2 linked regions of the Stegostoma tigrinum genome follow. The protein of the gene in region 1 interacts with the protein of each later gene in a pairwise test. Links are inferred from orthologs where the notes say so. Each region holds a gene or a part of one and is shown in the gene's direction. Other genes may lie near its edges.

Evidence for each region.
Region 2: the proteins of ankyrin repeat and SOCS box protein 13-like (region 1) and diphosphoinositol polyphosphate phosphohydrolase 1 interact in a two-hybrid assay, tested with the Homo sapiens proteins (2 studies listed by BioGRID and IntAct). The link is inferred for Stegostoma tigrinum from reciprocal best matches to the Homo sapiens genes ASB13 and NUDT3.

What each region holds. Positions count from the first base shown.
Region 1 is NC_081378.1:11,544,703-11,560,769, reverse strand, and holds the start of ankyrin repeat and SOCS box protein 13-like, read left to right. Parts: upstream 1-8,104; 5' UTR 8,105-8,168; coding exon 8,169-8,220; intron 8,221-16,067. UniProt on the Homo sapiens protein: May be a substrate-recognition component of a SCF-like ECS (Elongin-Cullin-SOCS-box protein) E3 ubiquitin-protein ligase complex which mediates the ubiquitination and subsequent proteasomal degradation of target proteins.
Region 2 is NC_081374.1:28,469,002-28,484,994, reverse strand, and holds the start of diphosphoinositol polyphosphate phosphohydrolase 1, read left to right. Parts: upstream 1-9,670; 5' UTR 9,671-9,999; coding exon 10,000-10,098; intron 10,099-15,993. UniProt on the Homo sapiens protein: Cleaves a beta-phosphate from the diphosphate groups in PP-InsP5 (diphosphoinositol pentakisphosphate) and [PP]2-InsP4 (bisdiphosphoinositol tetrakisphosphate), suggesting that it may play a role in signal transduction.

The sequences.
Region 1 (16,067 bases):
AGATCCCTCTTTGTGAGTTGGGTGCCAAATCAAAGATTCACTTATCCAATGAACCATTGCTGGGGGAATATCTATAATTAATGTGCAAAGTAACATAGCGTTCTGAGGAAGGGTCACTGGTCCTGAAATGTTAACTCTGATTTCTCCCCAGTCAGACCTCCTGAGCTTTTCCAGCAATTTCTGTTGTTGTTTCTGATTTCCAGCATCTACAGTTCTTTTGGTTTTTATTTAATAACTATTCTCATTCCTTTAGATAAATGTTTTTAATTTTCAAAACAATATTTTTCTTTCGGCCACTTTTATCTTCATCTTGAATGCATTCTTTCATTTCTGGTCTATGTTTTTTCACTAACTGTACTTGATATGACATTAATATTCCAAGTCACAATCTTGCTTCAGACAACACTGCTGAGTAATGGTTCTTTAATCTGTTTGATTATGGAGCACCCAAATGCTTACCATGTTCACACATGGCCCCATATCCCTGCAATGGGCAGTATGCCAAAATGTGTTCCTAATAACCTTAACCTTCAGTGCAAAGGCCCATGTGTAGGACTAATGAATTGTGCAGCATGGTTAGCTCACTCCTTACAGCAGATCTTGATGATGGTCTTGTATTAGAACATGATTCTGCCCTTTGCTTCACAAGATGTTTTATAGGGTGGGGTGAAGGGCTTAGCGCTAATGATAATATTCGACATCTGCATGGGAAAACAGACTGTATAGGATGGGAAAGTAGGCTGGGAAAGTTAAGGATGACACTTTGACAATCTGCATGATCTTGAATGAGTCCTGTGAACATTGCTTTATAGGTTTAAGATAACGCCTGCAGCTTGTTTTCCTGTAGCTGTTTTCTGTATTAACAAGCAGTTTTGACTTCCGTATCTGCGTTCGCTGCGCTGACTGCTAAACTGTTTCAGAGAGAGTTTTGTTCTGAGAGTTGGGCTTCACCTTGGACTGAAATCACAAGCAGTGCCAGAAACATCCTCAGCCTCCGGACCAGCCGTTAATCGATGGGTCCCTGATGGCCAGAAAGACGTGAGGCTTATTGTTTTGTTTCCCTCTCTTTTTCATTCTTCTCATTTACTTAATAAATGTTGCTTTCCGTTTTCATCTTTATTATTACTCAATAAATGTACACCCTTAAGAAAATTGCTGTTGTCGAGCCTTCTCTTAACTACATTTTAACCAAATCCAAAAAGAACCACTTGGATACGCTCTGTGATCCGAGACAGATGTATATAATACTTACTTCCCCAGCCCACTGCAATCAAGCCTCTCCATCCTCATGCTCCTATGTTGTTGTAATGAAGCTCAACAGAAGTTTGAAGGGCAATATCATTTGATTAAGAACTAAAGAGACTTTCAGACTCAAACTCCGGGCTTAATGATTTCAGATCATAACCATTGCTCTCATTTCACTGGAAAGCAGCATAACCAGCATTCTGGTAATGAAGAGATAGTAGGAACTGCCGATGCTGGAGAATCTGAGATGACAAGGTGTAGAGCTGGATGAACACAGCAGGTCAAGCAGCATCAGAGGAGCAGGATGGCTGACATTTCAGGCCTAGACCCTTCTTCAGAAAATCTGTTTTTGTGGTTTTCGGCTCCTCTAGACTTACCTTTTAAATAATTTTATTGTCCCATTACCATCCCCTTTTATCTTGCACCATTGTCTCTTTTATAACTTAACCACCCCTGCTTCCCACACTGTCACAGACATTCCTTTTTGTTTTTTTCTGCAGGTAAATGAGACTAGTTCAGTTTAGGAAACCTGGTCGGCATGGACGGGTTGGGCCAAAGGACCTGTTTCCGTGCTGTGTAACTCCATGACTCTATCTACCATTTCTGTTTCAAACTTACTTAAAACCTGTACAATCTACAACATTGACCTGAATCATTAGGCTAGATTTTGCAATCAGTGCCAATAACCCCATATAAAGTTGTCCACAAAGATCTAATGATTTGTCTGACATGGATTTCCCCCTTCCCAGTGAGACCTTGATTCTGGTACAGAGTCTGTGGGATCTCCAAGTGTCCAACAAAGGTGATGACATCAGGTGAGCTAAGCAGACAGTCAGATTAAAGAATTCTAAGCAAACAAAATGTTGTATATGACAAAAAGAAGGTGCAGGAGAAACTCAGCAGGTCTGGCAGCATCTGTGGAGAGAAAGCAGAGTTAAAGTTTCGGGCACAGAGACCCTTCATCAGAAGATAGTTAACCTGAATGGATTAATTCCGAAGCCTTTGTATGGCTCTGCCCAGCAGTATATAAGTGACTGTCTCAGGAAGAAACCAGCCATTTTGCGCTGATCCAGTTTGTTAATCTCACCTCTGCTGTTAACAACCATGAACTTAGGTTAGCCCAGTCTATCTCTTACCAAGTATAATATAGTTAACCATTTTAATGTTACTGTAACCTGTTCCTTATCTAATTAACTTTGGTTACCCAAGACTGAGCCCCCTTGAGATGTTATTGGGATAGCATCCCATTGATTTCTATATTCACTATAAATTAATGCTCTTTATCTCCTTACACAGAGGTATGCAGACACTGCCTTAAAACTTCCTGTGGAGCTGGTTGCACACAGCAGGACAAGCAGCATCTTAGGAGCACAAAAGCTGACGTTTTGGGCCTGAAGGGTCTAGGCCCGAAACGTAGCTTTTGTGCTCCTGAGATGCTGCTTGGCCTGCTGTGTTCATCCAGCTCCACACTTTGTTATCTCGGATTCTCCAGCATCTGCAGTTCCCATTATCTCTTTAAAACTTCTTACCCAACTAGAATTAAGTGTAAAACTTTGTAAATCCTTATCTTCCTACACATAGGTAGAATAACACTGCCTTAAGCTTCCTGCCTGAATAGAATTAGGTATAAACTGTGTAAGTCTTTATCTTCCTGCACAGGGGTATGTGGAAACTGTCTCAAATAAGATTAGGTGGGCAGCGTTTGTAAAGGTGTGAGACTTCTGAGATCCTGTAAAGAATGTACCTTCAGTCTCTGCCAAACAGGCCAGGGCACTGACTTTTGTTCAAGCCAGACACTTTGGTGGCTTGAAATTACATTCTGTCACTTCGGCAGCTTGAAATTGCCTCCTGCCGTTAGCAGTTACTTCACGAACGATCGATACTGTATCCTGCTCTCTTTATGTTTTCGACGTGGTAATTGTTTGTGTATCATGTCATTGTCCGATGTAGTGATTGTTTCATGTAACATGCCATTGTGAGATGTAACATTGCTTTATGTAGTATGCACCCGATAAAGTATAAAAAGCGGGGGCTGTCCCCTGCTCGGGGAGAATCGCTTACGAGACTCTGCACTCTGTGCTGGGTTGAGTACAGTGATCCTCCACAGCTTGTACTTGCTTTGTAATAAAGGATCTGTGTTTTCCTAAACAGGTCAGTGTCTTGTCATTGCATCAAGTCCATGAGGGTCTCTGAAAACGAACCTAACACCTTCTGCCTAGGCTTTTGTGGTAATCCTTCATCACTCAGTATTAGTAAGTCCCTAGAATAGTACTTTTTTTCTTCTTCTTTGGTGGCCCCCAGGGATGAGGATGACTTGGGCTACTCTCTCATCATAGAGATATAACTGGCGCCGGTTTTAACACGACAGCCACCACACCCCAGACGAGGCATAAGGTTAAGAAGGTGTGACCTTCCTGCTAACCTCAGGTGGTATAGGTAATTGAACCTGCACTGTTGGTGTCACACTGCAAACCAGCCACCAAGCCAACTAGGCTAATCAAACCACCACGTAGTACTAACAAGAGGGATTGGTGGCGGGATCTCTGGCCAAGAAAGATCCTAACAGAACTAGCTGCAAACTGTGGGCATATCTCACAGCACAAATCAGGAAAAAAAAATTGCACAAATTCTCATTCACTTTTGGAGAACTTTAGAGAGTGAACCAAAGATTGGGCCCCACGAATTAAAATATGGTATGGGACATGATGGTAATTCTCTGAACTAGTAATCCAGAAATGCAGGCTAATGTTCTGGAGACATAGATTTGAATCCTAGACATGGGAAAGTTTGAATCCAATGAAAAACATTCTGGAATTAAAAACTAGTCTAATGGTAATCATGTAGCCATTGTTGTAAAAAAATTCATCCAATTTATTAATGTCATTTAGGGAAGTGAATCTGCTGCTCTTACCTGGATTGGCCTATACATGACTCCAGACCCACAGCAGTGTGGTTAGCTCTTAATTGGCCTCTGAAATGTCTGAGAGAGCTAATCAGTTCAAGGGCAACTAGGGACAGGCAACAAAAAAGTGCCACATCCACATCTTTTTTGAGAATATTGTTAAAATATTGGAAACACATGTTTGAAAAAAACACATTAAAATAAAATCTGGAATTTTTATCAGGATATAGAAATTTGTCCTTCTCTATGAATACAATATTAGGCCGGGAGAGGCTGGTCATACGTAATGATGACTTGATATTTACAATAAACAGTTACACCTCACTTGGCAAAACATAATTTTTCGGGAATAGAAATGTTCTGGATAAATACAGCAGGTCTGTCAACATTTCTGAAGAGAGAGACAGTATTAATATTTCAAGTATGACTGATCTTTGGAACATTTGTTTTAACAGCACATTGGTGAAATTGATGTTCAATCAAATAATTTGTAGGGTCTGCAGCAGGAAATCCTGTGGGGGAGCAGGAAAGCCTTGGTGAGACCATACTTAGAGTATTGTGTACACGTTTGGTCTCTTTACCTAAGGAAGTATGTTCTGGCTATGGGGGTAGTGCAACAAAGGTTTGTCAGACTAATTTCTGGGTTGACAGGACAGATATATGAAGAAAGACTGAATTGGTTAAGAATATATTCACTGGAATTTAGAACAATGAGGAGAGGCTCTTATTGAAACCTATAAATTCTCACAGGGTGAGACAGGATAAATTCAAGGAAGATGCTCCTGATGATCAGGGAGTCCAACAATAAGGCAGGTGAAGATAAAACATGAGGGTTAGCTGGCTAGTAATATAAAAGAAGATTGCAAGAGTATTTTTAGACATATAAAAGTTAAAAGAGAGGCAAGGGTGGACACTGGACTGCAGGAAAATGAATCCATTTTGAGTAATGGGGAACGAAGAAGTGGCAGAGAAACTGAATTGGTACTTTGCATCAGCAATCGCAATGGAAGACATCAATAGCATTTCTGACCTTTAAGAGAATCATAAGGTGAGTGTAGTGGCCATTGCTAAGGAGAAGGTGCTGAGGAAGCTGAAAGATCTGAAGTGGATAAATCACCGGGACCGGATGGACTACACTCAAGAGTTCTGAAGGAGATAGCTGAGGAGATTGTGGAAGCGTTGGTGGTGATCTTTCAAGAAACACTAGAGTCAGGGAGGGTACCAGAGAACTGGAAAGTAGCTAATGTAACACTCCTTTTTTTGAAAGCAGGGAGGCAGAAGATGAGAAATTCTATACTGCTTAGTCTGACTGCTGTGGTTGGTAATATTTTAGAGTCCATTATTTATGATGAGGTTGTGGAGTACTTGGAAGTGCATGGTAAAATAGGGCTGAGTCAACATGGCTTCATCAAAGGGAGATCATACCTGACAAACCGGCCTCAATTAATGAGCAAATTAGACAAAGGAGAGCTAATGGATGTGATCTATTTGGATTTCCAGAAAACATTTACGAAGGTGCTGCACAGAAGGGTGCTGTATAAGATAATAGCCCATGGTGTTAGGGGCTAGGTACTGGTATGGATGAAGAATTGGCTGACTAGCAGAAAGCAGAGAGCGGGTTTAAAGAGGTTTGTCTCAAGATAGCAGCCAATTACTAATGAAGCTCCACAGAGATCAGTCTTGGGACCACAGTTATTCAGATAATACATTAACGACCTGGATGAAAGAACTAAGTGCATTATCACTAGGTTTGCAGGTGATATCAAGATAAGTGAAGGGGTGGGGTAGTGTTGCGGAGACAGGAAGGCTGCAGAATGACTTGCACAGTCTAACAGAGTGGGCAAAGAAATGACAACTGGAATACAGAATCCTGTTTCTTATTTCTTCCCACATCCTTTGATCATAGAATGATAGGATCTCCACAGTTCAGAAAGAAGCCATTTGATTAATCGAGTCTGTAATGACTCTCCGGAGAGCACCCAACTAGACCCAGAACCATCCCCACCCCAAGTTGCGTGGGGTTTTTGCCATAGCTAACCCCCCAACCTACACATCCCTCCACATTATGGGGCATTTATTTTAACATACCAATCAATCTAACTTGTACATCTTTGGACTGGGTCCCTTTAGTCCTAAGAACAATATTTTGCCCCTTTTTGAAAATGTTCAATATTTTGGCCTCACTTGCTTTTTGTGGCAGAGAATTCCACAGGCTCACCACTCTCTGGGTGAAGACAATTGGTCTACCTCATTTCATTACATTGTGAGCCCCATTCCAGACTCCCTGGTCACAGAGAGCATCCTTCCCACATATACCCTCTATGAGATACCTAATTCATTCATAAGCTCACAAGCACCTGGCGGAAACCCAGGCAGACACACAGAAAATGTGCAAACTCCACATAGATGGTTGCCCAAGGGTAATCAAACTCAGGCCCAGCGCTGTGAAGCAGCAGTGCTAACCACTGAGCTGCCATGCTGCCTATTGTATTCCAGATAACAAGGTGTGGAGCTGGATGAACACAGCAGACCAAGCAGCATCTTAGGAGCAGGAAAGTTGACGTTTTGGGCCTAGACCCTTCATCAGGCAACTGTCTATGTGGAGTTTGTACATTCTCTGTGTGGGTTTCCTCCAGGTTCTTGCGATCTTATGAATGAATTAGGTATCTCATAGAGGGTAAATGTGGAAAGCATGTTCTCTGTGACTGGGGAGTCTGGAATTGGGGCTCACAATGTAAGGAGATGAGGTAGACCAATTGTCTTCACCCAGAGATAATGGGAACTGCAGATGCTGGAGAATCCAAGACAACAAAGTGTGGAGCTGGATGAACACAGCAGGCCAAGCAGCATCTCAGGAGCACAAAAGCTGACGTTTCGGGCCTAGACCCTTCATCAGAAAAGCTGTCGTCACCCAGAGAGTGGTGAGCCTGTGAAATTCTCGGCCACAAAAAGCAAGTGAGGCCCCAAAATATTGAATTTTTTTTCAAAAAGGGGCAAAATATTGTTCTTAGGGCTAAAGGGACCCAGTCGAAAAATGTGCAAGTTAGATTGATTGGCATGTTAAAATAAATGCCCCATAATGTAGGGGAAATGTAGGTCCGGGGGTTAGCTATGGTAAAAACCCCACTCAACTCGGGGGACGGAGTGGGGACTGGGAATGGGTCTAGGTGGGATGCTCTTTTAGAGTCATTACAGATTCGATTAATCGAATGGCTTCACTGTGGAGACACTATCATTCTACGATCAAAGGATATGGGAAGAAAAAAGAAACAGGATTCTGAGTTGGACGATCAGTCATAATCAAATCTGAGTGGCAGAAAAATCGCGAAGGACTGAATGGTGTACAACCTGCTCCTATTTGCAACCAGATTTTAATCACTAGCTGCGCGAATGCGATGACAGTTTCAGAATTATGGTCACAGCAAACGCTGGCAGTTTCTCGTCATCGTAAGCGCCAAATTCTTCCTACATCTTATTGCGACTCCACAGTTAGAGTGTAATCTGCTGAGTATTTGCACGATTTCTATTTTAATGCTGTGAAATCCAAATGCTTAAAAATAATTTTGTAAATTATTTTCCTTATTAACTGTAATACACTGCCAGCTGGCTGTAACTAAAATGGAGGTAAGAAGAACCCGATGAAATTCTCTGGCACTGTTATTCATCTTTGTAAAACCTTTCTAACTGGGCGGGGGGGGGTAGTGGAAGGAACTTATTCAGCACTTCAGGGTGTTCCCATCAGGCAGATTTCCTTTCAAACAATCATTAATCAGACTCTACATAAATTCTTCCCTCGATAATCCTCACAAACTAATCAACCCAACTCGACCCATTAAAATGTTTTGCAATGATACCATCCGCTTTCCCCAACCTCAAAACGCACACACTCTCACTCAGTTCCTTCCACTTCCGCATGGGGATTTCACAGGCCTGTCATGTGCCGCATGCGCAGAGTACCTCCGATGTTGCAATCGCAAAGTAGCGTTGTCGCATCACGTGACGGTGCCCAGCTGGCCTGAAAATGGAAAGTGGCTGCAGCAGCCGAGCGGTGCAGAGAGCAATGGGAGACATCAGTGAGTATTAAGAGTTTTGGAATCAGGGTAACGCAACCAATTATTCTGGTTACTGGCTGACATTGTCTGCGTGGATGTCTCGACTCGTGTTGCAGTGGCCTTGTTTCATTTCTAACTAGTGCTGTTTGCCCTGCCTTGTCATAATAACAGCTTGCTCTTTGTAGTGAATAACAATTGCAGCTTGCATTTATGTATCTACCATTCTCTTCACAACAGCATAAGACCAAAAACGCTCATTGTGACTGTGATTGGAAGGAGATATCAGGGTAGGCGATTAAGCCCTTGGGCCAATCTGTTTTTTAAGCAACAAAAACAGAAGTTGCTGGGAAGGTTCAGCAGGTCAGCATCTATACAGGGGAAGCAGCGTTATCCTTTCGGGCCCAGTGACCCTGGTACGGAAACTCAAGCTGTTTTCCAAGCTACTGACTCCATCCTTGCTAGTGGCAGCTGCCTGAGATTAAACCAGGCTGGTTGCATCTCAGATGTCACATTTGATCATGCATTTCTGATCTCCTATTCATTGTGCCCTAAGACCGTGTTTCCACCTCTGTACCACTGCACAACTTTGTACTTCAGTACATCTGAAACCATTATTTGTGACTTAGTTATCTCTAGACATGACTATTCTGGCACATTCCTAGCTGTCCCTCTTGCATTTTATCCTCTGGATCTTAGGTCATCTAAAACTCTGAACATAGAACATTACAGAACAGTACAGGCCCTTCGGCCCTCGATGTTGTGCCGACCTGTCATACCGATCTCAAGCCCATCTAACCTACACTATTCCATGTACGTCCATATGCTTGTCCAATGACGACTTAAATGTACCTAAAGTTGGCGAATCTACTACCGTTGCAGGCAAAGCGTTCCATTCCCTTCCTACTCTCTGAGTAAAGAAACTACCCCTGACATCTGTCCTATATCTTTCACCCCTCAATTTAAAGCTATGCCCCCTCATGCAAGCTGTCACCATCCTAGGATAAAGGCTCTCCCTATCCACCCTATCTAACCCTCTGATTATTTTATATGTTTCAATTAAGTCACCTCTCAACCTTCTTCTCTCTAATGAAAACAGCTTCAAGTCCCTCAGCCTTTCCTTGTAAGACCTTCCCTCCATACCAGGCAACATCCTAGTAAATCTCCTCTGCACCCTTTCCAAAGCTTCCACATCCTTCTTACAATGCGGTGACCAGAACTCTACACAATACTCCAAGTGCAGCTGCACCAGAGTTTTGTACAGCTTCACAATAACCTCTTGGTTCCGGAACTCGATCCCTCTATTAATAAAAGCTAAAACACTGTATGCCTTCTTAACAGCCCTGTCACCCTGGGTCGCAACTTTCAAGGATCTGTTGTCATGGACACCGAGATCTCTCTGCTCATCTACACTGCTAAGAATCTTACCATTAGCCCTGTACTTTGCCTTCCGGTTACTCCTACCAAAGTGCATCACCTCACACTTGTCTGCATTAAACTCCGTTTGCCACCTCTCAGCCCAGATCTACAGCTTATCTATGTCTCTCTGCAACCTACAGCATCCTTCGTCACTATTCACAACTCCAGCGACCTTCGTGTCGTCTGCAAATTTACTAACCCATCCTTCTACGCCCTCATCCAGGTCATTTGTAAAAATGACAAACAGCAGTGGACCCAACACCGACCCTTGTGGTACACCACTAGTAACTGGTCTCCAGGATGAACATTTCCCATCAACTACCACCCTCTCTTCTTTCAGCAAGCCAATTTCTGACCAAACTGCTATATCTCCCACAATCCCATTCCTCCGCATTTTGTACAATAGCCTATTGTGGGGAACCTTATCGAACACCTTGCTGTAATCTATATACACCACATCAACCGGTTTACTCTCATCTACCTGTTTGGTCACCTTCTCAAAGAACTCAATAAGGTTTGTGAGGCACGACCTTCCCTTCACAAAACCGTGCTGACTATCCCTAATCAATTTATTCTTTTCTAGATGATTATAAATCCTATCCCTTATAACCTTTTCCAACACTTTACCAACAACTGAGGTAAGGCTCGCTGGTCTATAATTACCAGAGTTGTCTCTACTCCCCTTCTTGAACAGGGGAACCACATTTGCTATCCTCCAGCCATCTGGCACTATTCCTGTAGACAATGACGAGTTAAAGATCAATGCCAAAGGCTCGTCAATCTCCTCCCTGGCTTCCCAGAGGATCCGAGGATAAATCCCATCTGGCCCAGGGGACTTATCTATCTTCACCTTCTGAAGGATTTCTAATACCTCTTCTGTGTGAACCTCAATCCCACCTAGTCTAGTAGCCTGTATCTCAGTATTCTCCTCGACAACATTGTCGTTTTCTAGAGTGAATACTGTTGAAAAATATTCATTTAGCTTCTGTCTTAACTTGCAGTAAGCCCAGGTTCCCTCATCACTCCTGTGCCCACTGACCTGAGGTGGCTCCAGGTCAAGCAACACCCTGATTTTAAAAATTTTCAAAATTGTTTTTGGGTGGCTGTATTCTCCTTGTGTCTATAATGTCTTCCTCACAACCCTCCAGATATATTGATTGCTGTGTCCCTGGTCTTGCACATCTGTTGTTTTTTTTTCTGCACCATAGTTGTGGATGTGTCTTCAGTTGTTTGGGCTGTAATCCCTGGAATACACTTTGTATGCCTCTCTGCCTTGTTTTCCTCCTCCATATTATTCTTACCTCTCTGACAAAAGAAGTAATCTGACCTGATATCCCCTCAATGTGGAGGTGCCTGTGTTGGACTGGTTTGGACAAGGTCAAAAATCACACGACTCCAGGATATAGTCCAACAGGTTTCTCTGAACACACTAGCTTTCAGAGCATTGCCCTTTCCTCAGGTGTGCTGATGTACTTTTGTGTCATACTAGTTTTATAATACTCCTACAAAGTACCTTGGCATGCTTCATTTTGCTGCTATTTGAATATAGGTTGTTATTGGTCAAAGAGGAGGAACGAAAAGGAGGCATTTTGGGAAAGAAGATCAATGGTTTCCAGGCAGTGGAAGGATGGAAATCGGGTGAACAACAGAGGTCGGAGTTGGTGGATTGCAGAGTTCCTGAATGTTTGAAGGACTGGGCAAGGTTATTGGATGGGGTGTGTGGATAGTGGGGGAGGCAGTGCCAGTAATATTTTCAAATGCAAAAAGAGAAAACTTGAAATGTAAGGTGGTTGTGAATCTCCGAACACTTTTAATCAATAATGATGAGTAATGGATGACTGAGACTCAGTGCAGCTTGGGCTGAGGATAGCAATGTTTCTTATGGAGATAAAATTCTGATTTATTTTTATCCACTTTGGACGATTGACACTCCAGGGCAATGCCGAGGGAAGGCTGAACTGTTGCAGGTGCTGTCTTTCAGCTAAGAATTATACAGCACGAAACAGACCCTTTGGTTCAACACATCTGTGATCTAGTCCCATTTGGCCCATATTCCTCTAAACTTTCCCATTCATGTACCCATCCAATGCCCTTTAAATGTTGTCATTGTACCTGACTCCATCACCTCCCCTGAATTGTTAATAAATGGTGTCATGCATCTAAGAAGTGATTCTTTCCATTCGCCAACATGTACTACAGACATAATGGGAACTGTAGATGCTGGAGAATCCGAGATAACAAAGTGTGGAGCTGGATGAACACAGCAGGCCAAGCAGCATCTCAGGAGCACAAAAGCTGACGTTTCGGGCCTATTGGGACTGTGACAGCCAGAATTGTTTGCTGTTCTCTGCAGCTTTTGCCTTGCATAAAATCAAACTATTTAATCTCAATTAGTGATGTACAAAAGTGCATAATGATCAGAATTTTTAAAAGATTGATTGCAACCCTGAGGTATCCTCACAAGCAAATCTGAAAGATCCCATGGCCGTTCTTTAGAAGATTTGGGACTCTCCACCACAAACAGCTGTTGCTGCTAGGTGAGTTAATTTTAAATCTGAGTTAGATTTGTTTTTATTTAAAGCAAAGGTATTAAGGGGGATATGGAACAAATGGAGTTAGACCACAGATCAGCCTTAAATTCGTTGAATGACAGAACAGGCTCAAAAGGCTGACTGATCTACTCCCCCAATCCCAATAACAGGGGATTAATCCTGGATGCCCTAACTGATGTGTATCCTTTCGACTAATCAGCCAGTCTTTTACAGCCTCATGATGTCCAAAAGCCCTTTATGTCAATTAAGTACTTTGAAGTGTAGCCACCCTTGTAACATAGGGAAACATGGCAGCTATTTTATGTACAGGATCCCTCCCTACAATCTACTGTTAGATAATGACCAAATAATCAATTTTCATAATATTAGGACTTACATATTGTAGAGCAAAATTTGTATCAAATTTTGCAGTCCGATTTTTATGCATAATAAATGCTTTACTGTATATACCATCAAATGGTTCTACTGTAGAATCATTCTGAATGCTACAATCCTCAGATGTTTCAGTGAATCATTTTACTCCAGCAAACACACAATGAGTTAGTGAGCATTAAAAATTAACTCAGTGCTGTTTTTGAGAGTTTGCACACAAATTGGCTTTCTAGTCTCTTATTCGGATGGGATGTGAGCTTGATGGCATCAGTGTCCACTTAGAGGTGTCTTTGGATGATGCCATCAAAGAGCAGTGTGTGGATGAGAAGTAGGAAGAGAGGAGAAGAGGTGGCTTGGAGGAAGATCAGACTTACTGGCACAGGAATGAACGGGGAAGCAATTGTAGGTATTCTGAACTTTTGACAGAAGAATGGAACCAGATGAGTGTGCTTCTCCACCTACACCACCGCCTCAACAGGACAACCAAAGACGGGTGATTTTAGGTGGATGGTGTGGGCAACTATCTTAGAGTGGAGGCGAACTAAGGGAGATGTGGAAGTGAGAGGTTACCATGTTGACAGCTGCAGAAGATGTGCTTTGTAACTTATGCCCCTGTAGTTTACATCCTTTGTTGTCATTCTGTCGTGTATTTTTGTCATTTTCAAAAAAAAACGCAAAAATTGTCTTACCAGATGCTAGGAATCTGCTGCAGACAAATTAGCACAGTGTAGATTAACATTTCCCTCTTTCCTTCAGGAAGGTAGTGTACAGCAGTTCGCACTGAAAGGACAAGATGCTTTTGGTAATGTGCACTTTGATGTACCAGCAAGCTTGGAATGGAGTCAAAACAGATCAGGGAAGCCCCAGGGCTAGCCTAGCCTGCGACAAGCTAGCTTTTCCTGCAGCAACAAGGCTCAGTTTAGAAAGATTAACTATCCCCTTCTCTTAGTGATACCCAGCGTGCAAAGTGTGTGTGCACAGAAATCTGCAGGATAAAATCAGGCCAAGATGACACTACCAAATCAAATGGCTTGGTGATGTACACTGTGCAAGGTTACATTGTTCATTTGAGTGATCATGCTTGTGAAATCGAGCCTCAGTAAAAGTCAGTGGAAGAAAAGTTGTTTGTTATAATTTATTCTCATTCAGACTGCTTTAAGAAATGGAGAATTTGGGATAGATTTGTGGTTATGCTATTGGACCTGAACTAATAACCCAGAGAAGGTGAATGGAAATGTCGCCATTGCAGTGAGAAAATTTGAATTCCCATCAAATTAAATAAAATCCAAAGAGAACTTAACAGGGGAAAAAAAAGACAGCTTTCTTTTTAAGGAAGGTAATTTAGCGTCATCACAAGCCGATTATGATGTTGCTGTCAGATGTTGTTATCTAATTCTTCACTGCCCAGCTTAATATCCTGCTGGGTCCTCAGAGACACAGCAGATTTCACTTGAGCTGGAGCATGGATCAGTGAGGAAATTGGACAAGACCTGAATTGGATTTCAAATCCATGCCAAAACTTAATGCTGAGCTTAAGCCAGAAGGTGCCCCCTTGGGAATTGTGTCCTCATATTATTTTGAAGACACGAAAGGAGAGATTCCCTGGTGCCTCAGCTCATGATCAGCTCATTATTGCTGTGTATGAAACAGGCTGTGCAAGTTGACAGTCTCATGTCCATCATTGAACAAAGAACCAACTTGTAAGGATGTAATTAATGCCTTTTACAATCTCATGTCCAGAAGCAATTTGTTAATTAAGTTTTTTTTTGGAAGTGTAACCACTGTCGTAACATAGGGAAGCATGGAGTTTATGCACTGCAGGATCTCTTCCCGCAATCTACTATTAGACGATGACCAGGTAATCCATTTTAATGATATTGGGGCTCGGTTAATGTAGAGGAAACTTTGTTTCAATTTTTGCAATCTATGATTTTTATGCATAGTAAGCGTTTTGCTGTATATGCCCTCAAATGGTTCTACTGCAGTCTCTGACAGTTGTGTGCCCTCACTACTGCCTGGAAGAGGAGTCTGGTGGTGCAGTAGGAGTGTCCTTACTTCTCAACCTCACCCCTTGCTCAGGTTAAATCACCATGAGTCTCCTTTGTCTGAGAGAGTAGCCCTTTGGTCTTGTGGATGACGCCTTTCCCTTACCTCTGGATCAAGAAGCACAGGTTCAGACCTAGTTTACTCCAGATATGTATAATAACAGTTCTGAACAGGGTGATTAGGAAAATATCCAAAATGTGGAAGAATACAGTACTACATTGAAAGTTGGTGTAGGTAATGTGCCCAAGTAAGTGCCATGGGACTTGAACTTGAGATAACAAACTGTAGAGCTGGATGAACACAGTGGGCCAAGCAGCATCCGAGGAGCAGGAAGACTAACATTTCTGAAGAAGGGCCTAGGCTGGAAACGTCAGCCTTCCTGCTCCTGTGATGCTGCTTAGCCCGCTGTGTCCATTCAGCTTTACACCTTGTTATCTCAGATTCTCCAGCATCTGCAATTCCTACTACCTCCGGGTCAAAGAGGGAAGTTCAAGTCCCAGAGACAAGAGAGATATCGCAAACAAAAAGCAACATCTGGAGGCTAAGTTGAAGTATTCTGAAGTCGCAGAGGGTGTTTTACAGATGCAAGACTTTCTTCACTAAAAACTGGCACCTGGAAGCCTATAACATACCAAATTAACTTCTTGATGGGAGGGAAGGAAATTGATTTAGTGGCAGGGAAAGATGTGAACCAAATCTAGATAAGCCTTTGACTTGTGAACATCCTTGGGCAGAAAAGAACAAAATAGAGGCATGCTGGTTAAAATTTCTGCTTTTGGTATAAGCTGGCCTGAACAACAATTTGTTCTGCTTTTATGCTGTAGATAAATGTAAATAAATAAGGGTGTATATAATCTTTACTGATAGTGGCCTGGTGTTGACCAAGGGGAGATTGATAACTCTCAAAGATTTAGATTAATGAAGTCAATGGACTTGTATAGAGATGGTAGAAATTCAAGTGATTAAACTTTTTATGCCAATTCAATCTCTCAGTAGAAATATGCAAAATTGTTCCTTTAGCAAGTAAGTGAATTCACTCCAGTAGTTTATACTAAATGTGTGCACTATAATGATTCACTGATTAGCATGAATGCAAGCCAGTTGCTGACAGCATTCAAGCTTGGCTCACATGCGTTCACTGTCCTTGACACATTTTCACTTTCTATCATTAAGTTTCACTTTCAGATTTGTGCAATAGCTTTCAGCTTTTATTGTGTCTGTGTATATCTGTTTCATCAGGCCTCGCTAACTCTTCACTGTATGTCCATTTCTTTCTTTCTAATTTTCTCTATCCCCTCTTGGTGTCTTCCTGCCCCACCCCAGTCTGTCCTCACTATGGATATTTTTACCACTTCTCCTTTGCACCAGAGGGCAGAGGAGTGGATTGCACTTTCAGGAGATGATTGTTGCTTTGGCAGAAGTGAGTACTCCCTAACCCAAACTCCTGCCATAAGGCATTGCGGGGAGCCAGGAGTCAATATG
Region 2 (15,993 bases), on another chromosome or scaffold:
GATTGAAGTTTATTATGGGGAGAAAAGTGGACACTCAATGACTAGAAAATTGTGAAAGGATGAAATGGGTCAGCTGGAGAGAAAACAAGAGCAATTATGCTGTTTCCTGGATGATGGAGGATGAAAGATTGTTGGCGAATATCATCAAGAAAGTAAGACCAGGTTAGATTGGCTGCATTCTAATGTAGAACTTGTCAAAAGAGGTGATTAAAGGAAGATTAGAGGGATGTAGATCAAAAAGAATCAAAATTATGTTAGACAATTCAGTATTGAATGTAAGAGGCTCCATGCAATAACTGAAGAAGAAAGTCCAAGACCATAAGACATCAAGAAAGGAATAGGGCACCAGCCCTTGAGTGGGTAGTTAATCACAACTTGGGTAGAATTTAGGAATTGTTGGGTTTTGATGCAGCACTCAAATTTATTTATTCATTCATGGGTTAAGGGCATTGCTGGCTAGGCCAGTACTTATTGTCCATCCCTAACTGCCCAGAGAGCAGTTTAAGAGTCAACCACATTGCTTTGGGTCTGGCTTCACACGTAGGCCAGACCAGGTGAAGGCAGCAGTTTCCTTCCCTAAAGAACGTCAGTGAACCAGCTGGGTTTTTCTAACAATCGACAATAGATTCATGCTCATAATTAGACTCCTAATTCCAGATTTCTTTTCTCCACATTGAATTCAAATTCCACCATCTGTTTTGGAGGTATTCTAATCCGGGTCCCCAGAACATTACCAGGGTTTCAGGATTAATAGTCTAGTGATAAAACCACTAGGCCAATGCCTCCCCTTGCTGTCATAAAAACGATGCCATGCAAAGTACGGCAGAATGCAGCTGAAATCGCCAAAATTAGCAATACTGGTAGAGAGATGTGACAACAATGCAGGAAGTAGTTTAACTGTTCAATTATTACACAATTCTAGATGGGGAAAAATAAAACTAAAGACTAATCTTAAGGCACTTAAACTCAGTGTTGCTATACATTTCTTTTCACCTTCCTCGGTTGGCCATAATAAAGATTCAATATTGTTTTCAGCATGCAGCTACACCTTGCTGTATTTAAAATGTAGATAACATTTTCACCTGAAACAAATTCCATCCCACAATACATTCCCTCGTTCGGCTCTGAGGAAGACAGCACGGATGCTTCAGAGCAAATACCAATGAGGTTGCATCTTACGCACCCCATCAGCTCAGATACTGATATCTCAGTGGACATTTGATCGAGATTACAATCAGGACAACCTGTGGGTGAGCACTTCACTGCCACATCTCTGCAGCAGGTCATGAGAGAAACACAGCAGGTAAGTGGCACTTGGAGGACTGTCAGAGAACAGACAACTGCTCAGCCCCAGGAAGTAGGTGATTAAGAACTCCACAGAAAAACAAATACATATGCAGCAAGTAGGTTTGTCCAAGGCACTAGGAAAACTGATTCAAAGTATGCAGGAATTCACAAACGCTGTTTGCATTACGCTACCTATGGCATATGCCACCATTGACAGAATGGTAGCTGCCATCACCAGCCAGATCTGGTACCTTCAGTGTCTGCTGTAGATGTGTATAGACTTGTACAACATCATCCCAGCCACTGGTGCTCAAGAGGATTAGGAGCCACGTACAGGCCAGCCAGAAACATCCACTCAGGACATTCCTAAGGTGGCCAAGCCTTCTGCCTTCACCTTGCTTGCCATCCCAAACCCTGTGGAATTCAGCATGTCTGGGCCCTATAAACAGAAGTGGTCCTAGGGTCATCTGATCAGCCCTCCAAGGCCAATGGATTATAAGTCAGGATCTCTCCACTCAACTGTGGAATTTGGAGTGCGCTGACATGTAGTGAGAGGGAGAGAAAGAAGAGATTCTGAAGGCACACTGGTGGCACTAGTGTATTCATCAAAGTAAACAGATTTTCACATTTGCAATTAAATATTCACTTCTCATCATCAACTCTCTGTCAAGGCACCAATGCAATATCTCTGGAACTGAACACACTCATCGTATACCTACAAAACAACAATTGGCACAAGACGTCAAATGAGTAGCACCTGAGCCACAAGTAGACAATAGGTAAATGGCCAGTGAATGCTGCCTTGGCAAGTATGGTCGACCTTCCAGGCAGGAAAATATTGCCATAAAGCACATAAATTAAGTGGGGATCAACCATCTTGCCTGGTCAGGGATGTTTTGTACTGCACAGATTTGGCTAATGCGTAAGAGTCACAACGAAAGTAGTGCTCTTAGATCTCATTCATGCAATGTATAGAATTGAACTATTTTGCCATTTGAAGGTCCTCAGCTCATGCAAAGTTGAGGCACCTTCCTTCACAGAACAAAGCACTTACCCTGGTTGTGGTCATAATCATTTCCATTACACATTTGCAATTTACTGAACAATGGAAGACAACAGTGGGCAGTCTTTAGACAGTGAGTTCCAGGCTTTACCTCTCCATGTCGATGAACTCTGAAGCAAAAACATCTCTTTCCTTCAAGCACTTCCTGTCAACCCTGTCGGCTTTGAAATTACCAAAGTCCCTGCCCAACTCACTTACACAAGGCTGCAATGGTGCATATTACCCTCTCAGCCCTAGGCATATCAGGTAAACAGATATTCAGTTTATGGAACTGTTGAAGGGGACAGACTCTCCGAGGAAAATGGAAGGGGGCATCAGTTATTTGGACACTTGGAATGATTTTTACATTAGGCGCTATTTGACAAAATTTAATAGAATTAATGTTATATGGAACTCTCCTGTCAAGGGCACAGACAGGAGATTCTGTGGCAGTCAGTGTAAATTTAGAATGCTTTGTTGCCTACCTGGTGCTAGAATTAAGGACATCTCCAAAAGTTTCCAGCATATTGTTAAAGGTGAGATTGAGGAGCCAAAAATTATTATACATATCAGTAGGAATGACATCTCTGAGAGCTGCAGACGCTGGAGAAACCGAGATACCAAAGTGTGAAGCTGGATGAACACAGCAGGCCAAGCAGCATCTTAGGAGCACAAAAGCTAACATTTCGGGCCTAGACCCTTCATCAACATACATTACTGCTATAACCAGAGAAGATATTTCTGAAACATCATCCAGTGAAAATATATAGGTAGAAGTTAGAATTAAGAAAGGAACGATTACCTTGATGGGATTGTCTTATAGGCCCCCCTAGTAAGAAGGAAACTGAGAAACAAATACATAGGGAGATCTCAGGCATATGTAAGCATAATAAGGTTGTAATAATGGGGGATTTTAATTTTCCAAACATTGACTGGGGCTACCATCATGTTAAAGGTTTGGATAATGATGAATTTTTAAAATGTGTTAAAGAAGACTTTTTTGACAATATGTGTATGCTCCTTCTAGACAAGAAGCAAAATTAGAGATAACAAAGTGTGGAGCTGGATGAACACAGCAGGCCAAGCAGCATCTTATGAGCCTGCAGTGTTTGTCCAGCTCCACACTTTGTTATCTCAGAATCTCCAGCATCTGCAGTTCCCATTATCTCTGATCACCAAGAATCAAAATTAGTCATTCTTTGGGGTAGATAGCAGGTGGCTGAAGTTAAAGTGGGGGAACACTTTGGGTCTGATGGTCATTACGCCATCAGTTTCAAAATGGTTATGGAAATGGATAAACCTTCCATAAGATTTAAAGCTTTAATGGGAGTAAGGCAAATTTTAATGGCTATAAGACAAGAACTTTCAAAAGTTGACTGGAGTAGACTATTTGCAGATAATGGGATGACTGAAAAGTGGGAGTCTTTCAAGTATGTGATGACAAGAGTTCAGAGGCATTATGTTCCTGCTAGAGTGAAGGGTAAAGCTGGTAAGATTAAGCAACAATGGATGAATAAAGATATTTAGGTTCTAGTCAAGAATAAAACAGAACCTTATTTAGGACATCGACAACTTGGTTCAATAGAATCTCTTAATCAGTATGAAGAGTGTAGGGCATTTTCAGAAAGAAATCTGGAAGGCACAGAGTGGATATGGTTTAGCATTGGCAGATAAGGTTAAGGATAATTGAAAGAAGTTCTACAAATATACTGACAGAAAGAGGGTAACTAGAGAGAGGGTAGGGCTGCTTAAAGACCAAGGAGGCTGTCTTTGAGTTGAACCCCAAGAGATGGGAAAGATACTAAATGAATATTTCTCATTAGTTTTTACTGTGGAGAAAGGAGAAAAATGGAGTCTACAGAATGCAGAGAAATAAATTTTGATGTTTTAGAAACAGTTAACATTATAGAAAGGGACATTCAGGAGGTATTAGAGACGATAAAGGTGGGTAAATCTCTGAGACCTGATCAAATGTATCCCAGAGTGTTTTGAGAAGTAAGGGAAAAAATTGCGAGACCCCTTGCAGAAATATTTGCATCAACCATTACTATGGGTGAGGTGCCTTTGTCTATATTTCTGTAAGGTTAACACATCCTGTTTAAAATTATTTTGATTGTTTGGTCAGGGAATTGATCTTTGTGCATTTCCACCATTCCAATCTCTTTAAACAAATGTGGCTGACAGAAGGTTTGTCAGGAAAAAGTAAATTACTCATATCTGTACATGTTTATAATTCCTGGGGTAGCATATGAATGAATATAAAATCCAATCCTTCATTTTCTGCAATGATATTGAGTGGTAAATTGATATTAGTGCATCCCATTAGTAGTTTTCTTACCGTTGGCTCTGGCTAATGTTCAAATATATATACAGACATAACAATATATAAGTTAAGAGCAGAAGTTGGACAGAGCCCAGTCCATTACACAAACCAGGCTTCCATCCATTGACTCTATCTATACTTCCCACTGTCTCAGGAAAACAACCAATATAATCAAAGACCCCTCCCACCCTGCTTATACTCTCTTCCACCATCTTCCATCCAGCAGGAGATATAAAAGTTTGAATACATGTATGAACAGATTCAAGAGCAGCTTCTTCCCCATCCTTATCAGACATTTGAACAGACCTTTCAAATATTAATTCTGATCTCTCTCTTTGGACTTTCTCTGTGGCTGAAATGGTGTATTCTGCACTTTATTCTGCTACCCTGATCCTTTGATGCATATAATCTGCCTACATAGCATGCAAAACAACACTTTTCATTGTATCTCAGGACATGTGACAAAAATATATCAATCAAATCAATCTCTGAACTTTGCTCCACCATTTCATTAGGTTTCAACTGTTCTGATTTTGGCCTCTATTTTCCTGCCTGTCACCTGTACCTTTTGACTTCTTTGTCAGTCAAGAATACATCTAAGTTAGCCTTAAAATTATTCAAAGGCCCCCACCTCTAAGGAAAGAGAAGTCTGGAGATTAACAACCCTCTGAGAGAAAAAAAATCCCCTGATATTCATCTTAAGTCTGAGACCTCTTATTTTTAAACATTTCTGTCTAGTTCTACTTTCTTTGAACCTAAAGTTCTTGCTTCCTTCATTCCAGGAATATATTTGGTGTTGAAAACTGGAAGTGAGAAATTTATGGTCCCATTAACAGGTTTGGAAACTATGCCCACAGGGTTATTAGACTGCTCCTGAAGTGAAGTTAGAGCAATAGTTATAAACTGAATGCAAACCATTAAAAACAGATCAATGAAGGAGGGGGCTTGTGTAAATTAGTAGGGTAGTCAGTGGAGGTGGGGTGTGGGGGAGGTGGTACTGCAGTTATAAACTGTGGGGTCTACAACAGGAAGGGGCATTACTGGCTCCAAACAGGAACAGGTGTTTCAAATAAAAGGCAAACCTGCACAGAATCTGCAGGGGCTACCTTTCCTGAACTGAAGTGGGATCAGAAGGGGAGAGGACCTCTAAAAAATAGAAGGGATGCTGGAGGAGTAGAAGGTCTCTGTGCAAGGGACAGCATGTGTTAGAATATTTTGGAGAACAAAGGAAACAGAAGCAACAGTAAGACATTCTCCCCCCACCTTGTTCTGTCATTTACCTAGATCATACCTGATCTTCTACCTCATTGCCCTTTTCTTGAACTATCCTCATACTGTTTGATATCATTAATATCTAGGACTCTATCGACTTCTATCTTGAACATATTCAATAATTGAAGCACCTTGGCCCTTCACTGTAGAGAATTCCAATCACCCTTTGGGTGAAGAAATTTCTCCTCAACTCAGCCCAAAATGACCTAGCTCTTATTCTGAGATTCTGATCCAAAGTTCTGGACACCTTGGACAGAGGAAACAGTCTTTCTTTATCCATCCTGGAATCCCCTTTTTCTCAGCAAGCACTTACTCCCCTCCCCAATATCCCCACACGATTCAAGAAGGCAACTCACTATCACCTTGTCAAAGATGAGCAATGATGGGGAGTAAGTCAGTGACATCAACATCCTGTAAACGAATAAACAAAACCTCTTGGGCCCTGTAAGAATTTTGTTTGCTTCAATGCTTCTAAACTCTCGAGAATACAGGCCAAGTCCCCTCAACCTCTGTTAATAGGACAGTACTATCAGCCCTAAATTGAGTTTGGTTAATCCTTGTTACACTCCTGGCATGGCAAATTTTTCCTTTCTTCAGTAATACGGCAAATTTATTTACAATGCAGAAACAATAGTTAAGTCGGTCTGCTCAAAATGGATTAAGCCAAAAATACCATACCCTTTCCCATTGAGACGAATGCTAACCCTAACTCAAAATTCCCATCAATTGTGAAGTAAAAATGTTTAAAGTTAAGGAACATCTACCAAATTTGATGTAAATATTTTCTGAGAAGCAGGCTTTAGAAAGGCAAATGTCAGTGGTCAGAGTGCCAGTAATTGAAGGGAAATTTGTCAATTCTACATTTGCTGCTTACAACCCTGGTGTATAGGGCTGTCACAAAATTGACAGTCGCATTTTTTTTTCACTTAGCTATGTCCATGCTTCGTTAGAAGCAACGTGGCTAAAATTGTTTCAGAGATTGTAGAAACTACAGATGCTGGAGTCGTTTAGTACAATTACAACATTTAAAAGATATTTGGAAAGATACATGGATAGGAAACGTGTAGCACGATATGGGCCAAATGCAGGCAAATAGGACTAGTTCGGTTTAGAGAACCTGGTCCTCGTGTACGAGTTGGGCCCAAGGCTGTGTTTCGCTGCTGAATGACTATTTTTGCAGCGTCGAGCCTGTTTAGAACTAGTTGTTCGAGGCCCTAACAGTTGAGGCTTTTGTGTCACACGAAACTGACTTGAATGTGAAACCAGGATGAAAGAGGAAAGTGTACCGAACTCACAAGGTCACGGAAAATATTTCTACGTACAAAATGGGTCTTTTTTTCTCTTAAACTGCCACTCACTTGTTTTTCCTCTCCGGACTACATGTGTGCCGTCTCGAGCCTGTGTTTGTTGGTGACTGCATTTGCAATTCCGTGGAAGGACTTGGTGGTTTGGGCGACGCTTTCATCCCAGATTCTAACATCCCCTTCCTGAATCCCTCCGGAGGGACAGGCCTGTTTTCGAACTTTGGTGGCGCAGTTGACTGTTTTGGCCGCAAACTGGACCCACTCACCACGTATGACCCTTCGGGCAACATCTGGAGATCTTTCAAGTCTTCCAGCAGGGCGCCTTCTCTTTGGCTCACTGCCCTGCCCCCTGATGGTGAGGAATCTGGCACCGATCTGGACGTGGTCAGCTCTTGCCAGTTTTCCAAGGCTAGGTCTTGCATCTCGGAATACCTCTCCTCTTCGTTTGGCAGCAGGTATTTCCGTTTGTTGAGGTTGTGGAAGACAATGGGGAAAGTCTGAAACATTTTATCAAACGCTGGTACCGGTTTGAATTGAACTAGTATTCGGCGACAGTTGGTGACTGCAATTGCCCGAATTCGGTGAACCGTTGGGGAGCAAGTTCTCATTCCAGAACAACGCAATAAGAGAGGCCGCTTTAAAAGTAAATAGAAGAATCGCTTCACCCTTTTGTTGTACAGCATTGTTGCTGAATTATCATTTATAGGCGGATTTTTGGTGATGTGTATTTATTCCGTTGTAACTAGATAATAAAGCAACAGAGAACAACAATGCAAGAAAGATCCCAGAAAATCTGAACAAAAACAGGTGAGCCACATTTTAGAACAAAATGTAAAGAAAAGAATAAATTATTTTGTAAAATCCGATGACTAACTTTCGATTTTTGTCACATCGGTACTTCAAAAATGTACTTTCAGTAAAATAGTTACCAATCACAAAGGATCTAGAGTGGGAATCAAACTAAAAAAAGGAATAGACGACATAAATACAAATTATTCATAAGCTTGTTCAAAGAAGTAGATTTTAAGGAATGTCTTAAAGGAGGAGAGAAAAAGGTGGGGAGGCAGAGAGTGGAGGGAGGAAGTTCCAGGGTTAGACTTGGCAACTGAAAGTCGTACCGCCAATGATAGAGCAATAATAATCGACGATGCGCAAGAAACCAGAATTAGGACGAAGAGCTATCTCAAAGAGTTCTGTGACTGGAAGTGGTCACTGAGACTGGGGAGGGACAAAGCCATGGAGAGATTTGGAAATAAGGACAAGAATTTTCACTTGAGGTGGTGTCCAAACCCAACTAAAGTAGGTAAGTGAGTACAAAAAATGATGTGCAACGGTCCTTCTAAATTGCACATTTATGTGCTAAACAGCAACCAAAACATACCAGGAATCTTGCTGACAAATTGTCCCCTTTAAGATATGACGTGTACTAGAAAACATAATGAACTTAAGGTTGTTGCAGCACATAAAGGGATCATTTCTCGTGGGGAAATTGGCCTTAGTGCGAGTTAGGACACCAACAGCAGAATTTTGGACCTCCTCAAATGGACGATGGGAGACCAGCCAGGAGACAGGATAAATTCAAACTTACTAAGTTTGTCACATGAATAAGTATAAAATAAAGTCATAGATCTTTTACTGTATAAAAAGGCCTTCTACCCATCATGTCCGTGTAGTTTACAAACATCTATATTCTAATCTCATCCTGCAAAATTTGGCCTGTAGGCTTATGTGCTCTGACATTTCAAGTGTGCAATTGTCTTCACGGTTCCTGCCTCAAATGTCCTTTTAGCTTGTGTTCCAGATCTCTGCCATACTCTCGGTGAGATAAAATTCTCAAATCCCCGCTAAAGCTCATGCTCCTTCCCTTAAAGATGTGACTCGTGGTTACCCCTTTGTACACCTGAATCAGCTACCACTTCAGACTTCTCTGCTGTATGGAAAACAATCCCAGCCTATCCCGTTTCATTACAGCTGAAAAAGAAACTGTATTTGATATCTCAACCCACAGCATTATATGTAATTTTAGTTCATCTTTGGAAATAGTTTTTTTAAAAAGATTAATGTACAGCCGCACCTTTTCACTATATAGAACAGAATAAGGAAAGAAAAACTTCCACATTTAAAATCAACAAAACACGTGAACGTTACATTCAAGAAAGACACAATTATACACACAAATGGCCTTTGCTTTGTCTTCCCATACATTGGTCTCACAGATAGAGGCGGGGGGGACATCCGCTGCGCCCCCTCTCGGCTCTGAGCGTTCATTGATGGAAATGGAGCTCAGGCATTTTCTACCGAATTTGCTTGACGGGGCGGGGCATCGGCGCGCCACGGACGTGATTGGCGAACGGGGCACGCTCCTGGCTGCCGATTGGCTGGGCCTGGGAACAAGCCCTGCCCCCCCACGTGTCCCTTTTCCCCACGCCCCCCACCCCACAAACTGCCTTTGTGTAGCAGGTTCGGTTGAGGCACAGGGCAGCCAAGATGGCGGCGGCGGCGGTAGCAGGAGGAGTAGTGGAGGTGGCGATGATGATGGCGACCGTAGTATCGGCGGCGGCGCTGGTGTCGGAGAGAGTGGCTGTGGCAATATGAAGCGAGGTCGTCCCGGCGGCTGAAGATCAGTCTTCCTTCGTCGTTCAGTAAAAAAAATACAATTCACAACTGAGGGAGTTCTCTGCTTCTCTTCTCATGCGAAGTTTTTTTCTTTTGGGGGAGGGAAGGAAACACAGTGTAGAATTGAAACAAGACAGTTTACTGAAATAACATAAATGATGAAATTAAAGCAAAACCAGACTCGGACTTACGATGGGGACGGGTACAAGAAGCGAGCGGCCTGTTTGTGCTTCAAAAACGAGAGTGAAGAGGAGGTAAGAGGTTTTGGGACCTGGTTTGTGCGGCGTTGCTGCTGAGAGAAAGAGAGACAGTCTCCCCAGGGCCCAACACGTCTGCTCTCCATCTCGCCTTTTCCTGGGGGAAGAATCTCTGCTGGACAGGCCTTGCCTGTTGTTCTCTTGGAAATTCTTCCGGTTTCAGTGCATTTTATTTTACATTCTGTGATCGCTCCCACCGAGGGTGCTGGGGCGGGTGGCGTGGGGAGGTCTGTTTTTCTTCGGAGTGATGCCACATGCACTTTTCGCTTTGTGCTAAAATTACCGGTGACACCGCTGGTCCGGTTGATCGACGTTTGATGAGTTGGGTTCAGAGTGAAGGCATTTTCTCTCTCCCAACTTCAGTCAGTCAGAGGGGATCGTGGACTTATGAGAATCGTATTTGTCTGGTTCAGTGAGACTCTTTCGGTCTGTTGAGGCTGCAGAGCCTCCACACTTCCTGGTCGAAATTTTTGCATTTGCCATCGCAGGCGTACGTGAAAACAAAAATGCCTTCCCTTTCCAGCTGTTCCAACTAGTTATAAATATATTTGTTTTAAAAATGAATGAAGGAACCACTCTTTTGAGTAGTAATTTGTGCTGTCATACAGCGTAGAACAAACGGCGTGTTTTCATACTGCAAATTTGTCCATTGCAGCCAGGGATGACTTTTTAAAAAAAAAACGGCAGGTGGGTTGGCAGCTTTGCAACAGGAGGAAGATAAAGAAGTGAATTGTTTTATGCCTAGAAAGATTTTAACACAAAAGTATCACAGTTCACCATTTTGGAAAAAAAAAGCCATCTGCAGTCCCATGTTAATAACACGCATATAGCTAAGATTTCAGTAATATTTTAAAAGTTGAAATGATCTAGGGTGTGAAAGTGTTCGTGAAGGCAGTCAGCATTTGGCCTACATTATAAGTGGCTTGGCAGAGCTGATCTGTATTCTTGAAATGTATTTTTCAGTTTGTTTCCAACTTGTCCTGGCTTTTGGGTATGTGCATGAAAGCATCATGGTTACTACAGTTACCCTGATTAATCTAGATTGTGTAAGTGAGAAAGTTTGTGTTTGCATCTTCAGTAGAGCAGATAAATTTTTCTTGATTTTATTTTTGAAAGGAATAATTGACGTTGGAATGTGCTGGTGTATAGATGATAAATTGTTTGAGATTCACTTAGAGAGTCGTACATTTCTGTGGTTGTACAGTTTATTTGAATTGAAGCTATAGACATGGCAAAACTGGTGCTTTTTGCATTAAGTAGTGAAGTTGCTTTGTTTGATGCTTTTTGTTTATAGGCTGAAGTCAGCTGTGTCTCATTGTACCTGAGCCCAAGTTTCCTTTTACGTGGACCGAATTATGATATGTGAAAGTAATTTTAATTGAATTTCATTACAAGTCATTCTTCATAGTTGGCTCCCATTAGGTGCTTGTATCAGAAGATCTGTAGAGGATGGGAAGTAGGCAAATTTCTTACAAATAATCTAATTTGAGTGAACATTTCAATATCTTAATTTTAATTCTGGTGACACTGTCAATTTGAGGCATCTATTTGAACTTAAAATGGAATTTATTTTAAGCCTAATCTTTGCATGGTCGTATTGATTGTAATCCCTGGTTGTGCTGCCAATTTCATTTCTAGAAGTTGAGAATTTTGTGGAAGCATTAGTCCATGTGATGTTTGACCATAGATGTCAAGAAGAGCTGTTTAAGATTTGCTTAAAAACAGTTTGTGAACTGTGTGTGAAATCAAGCACTATATTGTTCATTACTTTCTGGGACACTTGCACATAAATATTAGTTTGAGCTTGAACTCTGGAACTCAGCTTTTGTAATCTGATATTTTTCAAAGTGATGAAGGTATAGTGGTGGCCAAACCTGTGATATCTATCATAACATACAGTATCTTATTCACAATATGTATAAAAAACAAGTTTCAGTTCTGTGTGGCTCACTTTGATTGGAGAAGCTGCTTTCGTATTGTGGTGTTAAATGTTAGATGAAAGCCTGAACAGAAACAGTAATTACTAATTTGAGTTGTTAAATTTATGTGGGAAATACGGAAACTTTCTTTAAGATTGTGATTCATTTTTCTCAACCGTTTCAGCTGTTGCCAGTAAACTTAAAGTGTAACAGCTAAAGATAACAGTATAGTTATTGAGAAACAGAAAGTTTCAAAGCAGTGTAACTTGAAATTGTTTGATAATACAACTAGTAACAAATAAATGCAGTAATTACCAGCCAAGTTTAATGCCTGCAAATTCTCATTGGTTCTTGTGCTTTCTGTTGTAATTTTGGAATACTTGAGTTTATGGGTTTTTAAAACGGTTCTTCCTACTCCTAATGCCTTCAATGCTTTTTTTCATTTTCCTGGACTGAGTAATCTGCTGTTGAGCATGCTCATTTATGTCCATTTTGATCTTGCTTCCCAGGCAACCTTTGAAACTAATGTTAAATGGCATTGATATACAAGGAAAACTGTGGAGTCATAGTAGAATGGCAATACTGTACTCATTCTTGGATGTGTTATAAAAAATTCCACAGAATTATAGAGAAGCACAACAGGCTGCCTAATGCAATAAAATCTCAAATTCTAGCAGTTTTGAACAGTTTTGTCCACGAGCTTGCACCATTTAAGATAACAGAAATATTTTAAATTGTATGTATTAAAAAATTGATAATGGAGATCCAGCTTTATAACTAGTTTTCAAATCAAATATTGTAAACCTCCCATCCAATTTTCAGCATGCAATGAAAACATTACTTGTGGTAATTTGGAATTGATTTGAACATCATTAGCTTGTCTTGAAAATCCCACTTATGTGGAGGTGTAAGTCATTGCTTGTATTTTTGAAATGGTCTATATATAAGTGAGATGGTGTTGGGCTGTTTCTGTGTTGATTGACTGCTGTTTTATTTGGTGTTTGGAAATGAAGTTAGTGAGTACTTAGTGTATTTAAATTGAATACAACTTGTTTTAAATTTCATTCAATCAATCACTTGTGAGCAAAATTTAGTGGTGAGTCTTTTATGATGCTGTTGTGGTTGAATACCTTTGGTGTGTTGCATGATTTTTTTTCAGTCTATTCATTGCCAGCAACAATTCATAATGTTGAGCAAATAGTCAATAATTTTCTTTCCGCCTGTGGCTCATGTTTGGCATGTAACATCTACACGTAATACATTCATGTAGTGCTTTTGACATGTTAAAACCAGTGACATGGCATTTTGCTGAGTAACTTTCTCGCTGTTTTTCTAAATGTTTCCAGCAAGTCTCAGTAACTCATTTGCCTAGATATATTTTTAAAAAAATTAAGTTCAACAGTTACAAAAATAAGCTGCAAATTTATATTTAAAGTACTTTGCATGTTTTGATAGAATAATCGCAAGAGATCAACACTTTCAGTGATCACAGATTTGCCTTGTTTGTCTTATTAGCAAAATTTCTATATTTGCTATTACAGCATTATGCTAATTTAGGATTCTGGTAGCAGTGTTCTCAAATTTTCACCTCCCTTTATGTAGATGCAGTCTCCTCCTTGTGCATTGTTATTTCTAGCATTGCTTGAAATAGACTATTAAAGCATTAATTATGACAGTTTTCTTTGGATGAGGACGAGGCAGAATGCACAATAGTGCACCATGGGAAATTGGAAATTGTGTGAAGTAAAGCTTCATTTATGCATTGAAAGTGGGATGTTGTCTTACCAGCTATTGGCGACTGAGCACTGCATGACTGAATGATGCTGCTTTGTGATATATAATAAGACTTTTTCTGCAATGGACTTCACAGGATTTTGCTGTGCTGCAAAACTTTATCACGGCAGAAGAAGTTTTGTCTTGCCCAATTTACTTCCATGTGCCCAAAAATCTGTGGGTCGAGCATCGGCCTATTCAATCACATGAAGACCCATGGCACAAACTTGCAACGCTAAGTAGATGTCATCCTCGAATCAAGGGACGACTGCCGTCGACGACAATTGTACTTCAGAAGTTATGAGAGGTACTGATTGTGGAATAAAGTAACTGATTTTTTTCAGTTTTTCATTGGCCTTATTTCTCTTCTGTGAGTGGTGATGAGAGGGAAAAGAGAAGTTAAAATTTCTGAATTTCTGTTGTATTTTGGCTAATCATGAGCAAATCTTCAGGAAATCTGTTAATGCTTCCCAACTTTTTGGCTCTTGCATATTTTCACATAAATAAAGCATTAATTATTCAACTCCAGTGTCTGTTAATTAACACAGGTTGTACTGATTTGACTACTAGTAAGTACTTGGGGGAGGCAGTGGCCCAGTGATATTATCGCTGGACTGTTAATCCAGAGACCCAAACATTGTTCAGGGGAATAGAAGATAATGAAATGTGAGGCTGGATGAACACAGCAGGTCCAGCAGCATCTCAGGAGCACAAAAGCTGACGTTTCGGGCCTAGACCCTTCATCAGAGAGGGGGATGGGGTAAGGGTTCTGGAATAAATAGGGACAGAGGGGGAGGCGGACCGAAGATGGAGAGGAGAGTATAGGTGGGGATATGGGAGGGGATAGGTCAGTCCAGGGAAGACGGACAGGTCAAGGAGGTGGGATGAGGTTGGTAGGTAGGAGATGGAGGTGCAGCTTGGGGTGGGAGGAAGGGATGGGTGAGAGGAAGAACAGGTTAGGGAGGCAGAGACAGGTTCGACTGGTTATGGGATGCAGTTGGTGGAGGGGAAGAGCTGGGCTGTTTGTGTAGTGCAGTGGGGGGAGAGGACGAACTGGACTGGTTTTGGGATGAGGTGGGGGAAGGGGAGATTTTGAAGCTGGTGAAGTCCACATTGATGCCATTGGGCTGCAGGGTTCCCAAGTGGAATATGAGCTGCTGTTCCTGCAACCTTCGGGTGGCATCATTGTGGCACTGCAGGAGGCCTATGATGGACATGTTCATCTAAAGAATGGGAGGGGGAGTGGAAATGGTTTGCGACTGGGAGGTGCAGTTGTTTATTGCGAACCGAGCGGAGGTGTTCTGCAAAGCGGTCCCCAAGCCTCCACTTGGTTTCCCCAATGTAGAGAAATCCACACCGGGTACAGTGGATGCAGTATACCACATTGGCAGATGTGCAGGTAAACCTCTGCTTAATGTGGAAAGTCATCTTGGGGCCTGGGATAGGGGTGAGGGAGGAGGTGTGGGGGCAAGTGTAGCATTTTCTGCGGTTGCAGGGGAAGGTGCCGGGTGTGGCACCTTCCACCCCAACATTCAGTTCACCTGGGCCATCTCCAGCACATCCCTCACCTTCCTGGACCTCAGTCTCTATCTCAGGCAACCAGCTTGTAACTGATGTCCATTTCAAGCCCACTGACTCCCACAGCTACCTAGAATACACCTCCTCCCACCCACCCTCCTGCAAAAATTCCATCCCCTATTCCCAATTCCTCCGCCTCCGCTGCATCTGCTCCCACTATGAGGCATTCCACTCCCGCACATCCCAGATGTCCAAGTTCTTCAAGGACCGCAACTTTCCCCCCACAGTGGTCGAGAACGCCCTTGACAGCATCTCCCGCATTTCCCGCAACACATCCCACACATCCCTCACACCCCACCCCCGCCACAACCGCCCCAAAAGGATCCCCCTCGTTCTCACACACCACCCCACCAACCTCCGGATACAACGCATCATCCTCCGACACTTCCGCCATCTACAATCTGACCCCACCACCCAAGACATTTTTTCCATCCCCACCCCTGTCTGCTTTCCGGAGAGACCACTCTCTCCGTGACTCCCTTGTTCGCTCCACACTGCCCTCCAGCCCCACCGCACCCAGCACCTTCCCCTGCAACCGCAGGAAATGCTACACTTGCCTCCACACCACCTCTCTCACCCCTATCCCAGGCCCCAAGATGACTTTCCACATTAAGCAGAGGTT